Coturnix japonica: one gene and its partner. Each later gene encodes a partner of the first gene's protein in a complex. Links are inferred from orthologs where the notes say so. Each region holds a gene or a part of one and is shown on either strand. Other genes may lie near its edges.

Region 1 (3,676 bases):
GGAAAACAATATAGCAGGAAATAGTCCGTGTGACCATGAACCAGAACTGAGGTGGTATAATTATTGCAAATGAACGCATGAAATAGCTCCTCAGAAGACGCTGAAAGAGAATGCATGAACTCTTTCTACCTATTCATGAATGGGGATGTCTCGGTACGAATTCTACTTTGCTTGAACATGGAAGCAGGTAAGACAGGAAAAACAATGGTTCAAATTAAATCATGTACCAACCTTGCTGATGCAGTACGTACACCAGCATAGGTCTGGGTCTGGAGTCAAAGATTTCAGTACTGCAGTAACTAAAGCAGAGGGTATCCCCTTAGGAATGTGGTTCTTGGCCCAGCAAGGGAATTACTACTTTCTCTTTTTATGGCTTCCAAATCCAGACAGTTCTAGGTATATAATGCAGTTGCCATTCATTTTTTTCAGTCTAATGGACATTTGTCCAGTTGTGATTTCACTAAGATAGACATCACAAAATGCAGGTCATTAATTGCATTCCATACCACTAGGAAAACAACATGATACAATAGAACTGACTCATTAAAGAAGTTGCAAATTTTCTTCAGCATAAAGCTGCATCCAGGCCATTATCCCATATACCATATACCCATATTATACAAGTAAAGAACTTTTCTAATGAAAAACCATCAAGGTTTTCTGTCACATATGTGAAATATATTTTAGAATACCCAACCTGACCTTTGTGTGGCCAGACATCAATATTTTGCTTCAACCCAAGAATTTATTAAGACTTACATGAAAATACTCCATCTTAACATAGTACACATCGATAGCATCTGAATACATATTTACAGATTTATTTGAACTCTTCTGAACTGCAATTCTACAACCGAGCAACATATCCATAAGTGTTTCATAAACTTTTGAACACTTACATATTTATACATATAGTTTTTGCATATATATATATATATAAAAATATTTTTGAGACTCAAGGACTGAGAATAGTCAAAAGGACATTATTGCTACATTTCCATATTTACAAAAAAACAATGCATAAAACCATTCAAACACTAAGCCATTGCAAAATAAGTTTCAATCCCCCCCCCCCCAAAAAAAATTATAAAAATATAAATTTTAAGAAAGAAAAAACCCAAACTTTTTTTTTTCAGCTAAATGTCCATAAAGTACCAAGACATCTATGATTATAAAACTAGTTTGTCTACAGTTGCTCTGAAAGCCAACACACTACGAAAGAGCTTTTATAGCATTAAACTGAAAACGCTCAACAACAAGTATGCATAAGAGTGCCTCCAAACAACTGACTAACTTTGGAAAGGTGCAACAGCCTAAGTAAGTTCAGTGCAAATGGTTACTTCTTGACTAACTCTGAAAGATGAATTCCTGTAACAATAAACCAAATGCACAGGCATACAAAGAGTGCGGTATTCAACACTACCTAAAATGTACTACCAGTGTGTGTATTTACAATTGTCTTGCATTTTGGGCAGTTAGTTACACATTTAAAATGCATGTAAACTCAACCAAAATCCTGGTAAAACATAAGTTACAGAGTGCTTAAGTGCAATGTAAATAAATAGGTACTTAAGTGGTACTCTTTGTCTCAACAAAATGCTTCTCTTGAGGCATTCATGAATTTAATGGTGACAGAACAAAGGTTAAAAAAAAATAAAAATAAAAAAACAACAGTGTTTCCAACAGGAAGAAAAGGAGTTATAAGATACTTAAGCACAATCCCAGGCCAACAGAAACTGACCCCACAGCCTCTTATGTGCCACCAAACAAGACTGAAGGTATTCACTGTTCTATTCCATTTAAAAATTCAATGCTTCCCAGTTAAGTTCTGCTTCAGGATCTCAGCACTACTACAGAGATAGATAGAAAGATGTAATGACTTGTGGGAGGAATAGCCTTTTCCTGAGTGCATTATCCAAGCCAGCCTATGGGAAATGTTCACCTGCATATCACAAGATAAGCAAAGGGCCCTCAGGACAGAATTTTTTGCTTCTGCTCCTGCCAAGATAAGATGTCTCGTTAAACGGCCTCTGCTCCTCTGACATTCCATTTACTATAAGCAACCCTCCTACTGTCATTTGACCAGCTCAGTAGGGCCCACCTATCTTTGGTGAACGCATTTGGACACAGCTTTTAGCAAACCAAGCATCTCATCCCTGCAGTCCTGACTGTGGGGTATGGTCTGTGGTGGAATGCCATTGGGATGTGGTGCAGGTACCCAAAGAAACCTGCTGACTGCTCTGCACTGCTGAAAGCCCAGGTAGGAAATCAAGACTGAGGTCTTTCACTTCCAGAACAGCTTCACGCCCCAGAACCTCTGTAAGTTCTCTGTTGTGGTGCCCATGTCCACCCCTTGGCTGCCCACTTCTTGCCCAGGGACTCACTGTCCCTCCTGGCCTCCAACCTGTGGTGTCTGCCACAGAAAGCCTCTCAGGTGTGGCTGGATATGGAAAGGGGTTTGCAAAGCACTTTGCTTTATATCTGTTTATTTCTTAAACTCAACAAAACAAAATTAACTAGAAAATGACTACACGCTTTCCAAGCATGGATCCAGAGGAGGACCGCTGCAGATTTGGTTTGATCTGTAGTCATCTCATTCAACACCCTGGCCCAGGGTCTCTTTTGTGGTTTTTTGTTGTTTTTCTTCTCCACATCTGGCTCTCTACTGCAAATACACACAATATAGCAAAATATATACAGCTTCAGTTAACATTGCAATGATGCCTGTAACCGTGCTCAGCACATTAAGTTTATGTGTAACAGTGTGTGGTAAAGGACAGTATTACAACATTTCAGCTACACGGTGGTAGTAGTGAGTAAAAGTAAAAGAAATAGAAGTCCTCCCTCTCTCACTCCCTACACAATACAAACAGCAAGTACAGCTGGGCTCCTCTTCTTCCAGATGCCACTCAAACATCTTCGCGTACCAGAAGGGGCTGAGTAGATGAAGCGCTGCTACCCACTGAGTTAATCCTCACCGAATGATCTGCAGCGTTGCCTTGACTGGAAGGTGGAGTGGAAAAGTTTGCATACACCTGCAGAAGCCAAACACTGCTGTCAAAATACCCGGCAGATGGCCCAATCCTTTCACACCTCAGTGAGCCATCTCCCTCTCTGTGCTACCTGACATGAAGGGCACCCGACTCAGGGGATTCTTGACAAACCTAAACACGCTGCTTCAACATGTTGTGGGCTTAACAGCTCTTTTAAGAGTCAAGAATCTCATTCTCATTGACTAAAAACACTTCATCTTACAACTGCACTCTAAATTTAAACTGAGCTTGAAAAAATACTCCTCCGATTATTCCTAAAATGCCCCCAGAAAACTCTCTAATGTTTACTTCACACTCTTCATTTTTGTTTTAATGATGCCTGCACCTGCTAAAAATACGCTACAGGATGCAATCGAACACCAGCAGCTTTCAGTTTCCTCTTTCTCAGATTGTCAGGAAGCCTTACACTCTACCCAAACACGACATCTAGAAGGTGAAAGGAAGCCTTATTTTTAAACCGGATCTTGAACTTGCTTTTATAAAACTCAGTTGCACACAGTGTTACTGTGAGAAAAAATCCAAGTCTGCTGGATCCGCTTTCTCTTTGAACTCTTTTGTCCAGTTACCCTCTGGACAGGCTTTTACTAGAGAATGGTGGAAAGAACAGTGAATGTACACTTGAT
Region 2 (4,473 bases), on another chromosome or scaffold:
AGGTTCATAACAACTTAGGAGCTTTGCATCAAGTGCATTTATGGTCATCTGAAGACTTATTTGTATTTTCAGAAAATAAGCATATATTAAAATGGGATGAAAGTAGGTTTACGCAAAAGAATAAGGATGAGGAACATTACCAAATATTGCTGTTTCTCTTTAACAATAAAATAAAATAAAATAAAATAAAATAAAATAAAATAAAATAAAATAAAATAAAATAAAATAAAATAAAAATAATTTTAAAAAGGAAACAAAGTTCTCTGTTTCCCTTACACTTCACTGAAATATATAGTCAATTTGCATAAGAACTCTACTCTGCTTTTCAGTCCCCACCCTGTCCACTCAATAAACTTCAGTATTTGCACTTACAAGTTAGACTGTATTTTTTTTTATACTATTTGTAGTATATATTCCTCCAAGCAGCATCACAAGCTTCTTTGTTTTGTTGCTAATGGAGCCGTCCTCTGCTTTGTTGCTAACACACATTAAAGCCAAGACACACCAGCAAAGATCAAACTCCTTTCCATTTACTTTTCTATCATTCACCTCCTATGGCACGCTGTACTACCAAAACAGTACTATGTAGGCCCAGGGAGGAAGTAAAGTAACAGCAAATACAGCACGTAATGAATTACCCTGAACTATGGCCTCAGTTTTGCCAGCAGTGATGCAGCAAATATGTAGACAATTCAAGGCAACACTACCGGAACAAGTCTTTCAGACAGTAATCCCTAAGTTATCCTACAACTACAGAAGTTTTCATAAAAATATTAAGAAATTAACTTGCTTCTGAAGAACTCTCAATTAAGAGTCTGCTCTCGCACCCCCTCATCACTGCAATAAGCAGAGTAATCTGAACTACCTGCACAGCAACCTGGACCAAGTTATTATTTTGTCTGAACTTCCTTTTCTAGGTGTAACTCAAAGTATCTGATTGACCTACTGAACAACCCAGGAAGAAACAAATTAACAGCATGGTATAAGCCAGTATCTTTTTTCATATTTTACTATGTCAATTTTTAAGATAATCCAACATTGTAACTTAGTCTACAAGAACCCTTAGTTGCACATATCCAGCACCATGAAGAAACTCACAGAAGCTTGGGTAACAATACAGCGCTACTTCTCTACTAACCTATAGATGGAAGCTTCTGGGGAAGTTAGTAAATGCATATATCCACATAACGACAACAAGAAGTAAGTCTGCTTTAAGTAAAAGTTCAGTTCTAAACTTAGCGTGATGCCACATAACAAGAAATATACGACAGAAGTGAAAACTTCATTAAAGCAAGCACTTTGAAAAAGCTGAAATCTGCCTTAGTAACTTAGACAGAAAAGCATGAGCTACAATTACTCTCTCGCTGTAAAAGACTCCAAAAATACCTAGATATTCTCCTGTGGCTTACGTCTTCCAGCCAAGCTAGAGTAATTTATCTCATAACTATGCCAAAGCTTACATATTTTCTACAATCCAAGGATGGGCTAATTGACATGAAACAAAAATAGCGTCCAGCCATGGCAGAAATGCAGAAGGATTATTCCTCAAGTACTTCTATAGAAATCAGCTTCCTAAGACAGGAGGCCTACAGAAGGCATTTTTAACTACAGGTGTACTGAGAGGTTGGATGTGGTGTAAGCATTACTGGCAGGCAGGAAAGAGGAGTTGAGACCTCATCGTGAAAGGGCAGGAGAGTGTAGTAACTGGATGAGACACTTTCCCATTCCAAAGAATATTCTGCTGTACATTATCACAGTTCTAAAAATATGGGGAGAAATGATGAAAGAATTAAGGGGGAAAAAACACAATCACAGCACCTCACAACACGGCGCCATTCTCTACATCTCAAAAGTTCAGGGTTTTGGAAAGGTCTTTCTTAGACAACAGAGTTGGCATGGGCCAGAACCAGCTGTTTCAGACCAAAGCTACACCATTAGGGAAAGAGAGTGGAAAAGACAGTTTGAAAAACAATGAAAGCTAATAAAGTTTCTGTTTGTTTACCTGTTGTTTGGATTTTAAATAAATAAATAAATTTAGAAAAGTCTTGAGCTTTTTAAGCCTGTAAGTGCTGCCTGTCACAGCTAACAATACTTCCCTTACCCCTTACACAGCCCTTGGCATACCCTCAGCTAACAATAACATGACATTTACAGCTTCACCTTCCCCGGAGCTCCTTCACAGTGCGAAGCCCCGACAACAGTAGCACAAAATGACACCCCTGGCAACCTGCCCAGCAGCAGACCCCTGCAAACCTAAAAATGAAGGTGGGTGGATGGGGAGAGGAAGCAGCCAGCAGCCTAATTCGGCCGCCCCCCGGTCACGGCACAGAGCAGCAGCGGGTGCACAGGAGCAGCGGCCCGGGGGAGGTGGGCGCAGGGTCGTGGGGAGGTCGGCGGCGGCGGCCCCTGCTGCCAGGCGGGGGCTGTGCAGTGGCCCCGCGGCCCGGCCCGGCTGCTCCCCGCCCGCCATGCAGGCCGCGCCGCAGTCCCGCTGCCTCCGCAGGGCCTGGCGCCGCCGAGAGCTCGGAGCGCCGCGCAAACAAAGGGAAAGGAGGCCGGGGCTCGGGAGGAGGGATGCAGGCAAGCTAAGAACCGCACCGTCCCCATCCCTGGCTCTCCATCGGCGGCCACCGGGGGAAGGAAGGAGGAAAAAGAGTGGGGGGAGGGCGCACCGTTGCCCCGGGGACGCTCACCCAGCGGAGGCCGCGGTGTCCCGCTCGCGGCTCGGGCCTCTCTTCGGGCACCTCGGCGGCGCGGCCCGGCCTGAGCCGGCATCCGGGCTGGGCGGCGAGCAGCCTCTCCGGGCGGCGGAGCGGACTCACCGAGGCGGAGGAGGAGGAGCTGGGCGTCGCTGTTGCTCTTGCGGGGCCCGGCCCGGCTTCGGCTCCCTCCCTCCCTCCCTCCCTCCTTTGCCGCGCCGCCGCCGCCTCCCTGTTCCTGGCGCCGCCGCCGCTTCCTCCGCCTCCTCTGCCCCCACCCCTCCGTCCTCCGAGGGGCGCACGGGGGTGGCGAGCCCGTGATGGCCGCCGCCTGCTGCAGGCACTGCTCTGCTGATGCGGCCGCGTACGGCCCGGGCCGCTCGCCCTCCTCCGAGCCCTGCCTGCACCTTCCCGCCCGCTCCACCGCCAGCCCTCTGAGGCCCGGTCTCCGCTCTGGTTTGCCTCCCCCGGCTCCTGTCTGCCTCCTCTGTGGCCGCAGGACTCTGGGGTAGCTACGCTGGGGCCCCCTGGCCCCTTTCTCCCTGTCTCTCTGAAGGTTCTCCCTGGCTTTAGGAAGTTCATAAATAAAGTTCACAGCGAGCTCCTTTCTGTCAGTGATGAGTGTTGTTGTGCTTGTACTTCATCCTCTGAGGGATTCTTCCTTTCCAACCCCTGCAGCTGCCCCGGACCAGGAGCTCCCTGCCAGGCCCATAGGTGCGAGAAGCTTGGCTGCTCCCCTCCTGTCCCATTTGTCTTGATGCTCAGGAAAAAAAACATTGTTGTGTGTGATGCTGCTGTGCAGACTGACTGGAGAAGAGTGCCGCCAAACTCCAGCCACATCAGCTGTGCTTTAGGTACTCCAGCCAAGCAGGCTGCTTGCTTGTTTTTCTGGTCCCTCTTTAAAAATAAAATTCCAAATAAAGAACAACAAGGCAATTCCTAGTTGAGGATGTGTTAGACTGGCAGGAGTGACAAGTGAGGGGGGGAAGAATTCAGATGTGTGGACAATACGGGTCTTGGAAGTTGTGGAAAGTACTATTTGTCTAGCTGGTAAAGTATTACTCTCTAAAGCATTTTCATCCTTCGTTTCCTACTTGTGGTCTTTAACTGATGCAAATATAGAACTTGATTTTGCAAAGATATGCATAATTTACTTATCTACAAGAGTCAGTGATGTTATTTGTGTGACTTCTTACTCACCCGCTTAACTGATATGAAGTTTAGAAAGCAATCATTGAAACTCACGAGGCTGTGAGAATATCTGTACACATTCTGCCTGAATTGTTCTGCTGAAACCAAGGAGGTTTGTGGGCTGAGGTCTGAGAGTTGCTTAACTGCCTGAGTTATCTGAGGTCAGGATGTGTCCTGACTGCATTTACATTTTTGTGTCTCAGATGTTTAAGGAGTGTCAGAGAAATTTTCTTGAGTCTCATCCAAAAGTTCCACAGTTCTTTATGCATCTGATCGACCACAGATGCTGGCAGGCTACAGTTTCAGGTGGTGATGCCTCCAGTAAGAGCAGTATAAGGAAATTATTTTCTTATTAATACAAACACAGGCTTATTCAGACATGAAGTACCTGGAGTTATTTATGTTTTTGTTAAAACTATATGTTCTCCAATTATGATTAAATGTCTTCAATAGTACAAGGGGAAAAAAAAAAAAAAAGACAAAGACAGCAACAACAGCAACAACAGCAACAACAGCAACAACAACAAAACATAAGAATAGCTCCAGCTTGATCATTTGAGTATCCTTATGAAGCACAGCTCTG

What was found.
Region 2: the proteins of KIT (region 1) and SOCS6 are in contact, whole or in part, in a crystal structure (PDB 2VIF), measured with the Homo sapiens proteins. The link is inferred for Coturnix japonica from reciprocal best matches to the Homo sapiens genes KIT and SOCS6. Residues at the interface, in NP_000213.1 of Homo sapiens: Asn566, Asn567, Tyr568, Val569, Tyr570, Ile571, Asp572, Pro573, Thr574; in NP_004223.2 of Homo sapiens: Arg391, Glu395, Arg409, Asp410, Ser411, Ser412, Asp413, Ser419, Phe422, Thr428, Leu429, His430, Thr431, Arg432, Phe442, Tyr443, Glu444, Gln445, Val448, His460, Asp464, Ala469, Phe470, Cys471, Tyr472, Ser473, Arg474, Ser475, Arg476, Thr482.

The regions. Positions count from the first base shown.
Region 1 is NC_029519.1:58,881,507-58,885,182, forward strand, and holds the end of KIT (mast/stem cell growth factor receptor Kit), read right to left. Parts: intron 3,036-3,676; coding exon 2,910-3,035; 3' UTR 797-2,909; downstream 1-796. UniProt on the Homo sapiens protein: Tyrosine-protein kinase that acts as a cell-surface receptor for the cytokine KITLG/SCF and plays an essential role in the regulation of cell survival and proliferation, hematopoiesis, stem cell maintenance, gametogenesis, mast cell development, migration and function, and in melanogenesis.
Region 2 is NC_029517.1:84,341,581-84,346,053, forward strand, and holds the start of SOCS6 (suppressor of cytokine signaling 6), read right to left. Parts: upstream 2,901-4,473; 5' UTR 2,823-2,900; intron 2,803-2,822; exon of another isoform or gene 2,673-2,802; intron 1-2,672. UniProt on the Homo sapiens protein: SOCS family proteins form part of a classical negative feedback system that regulates cytokine signal transduction.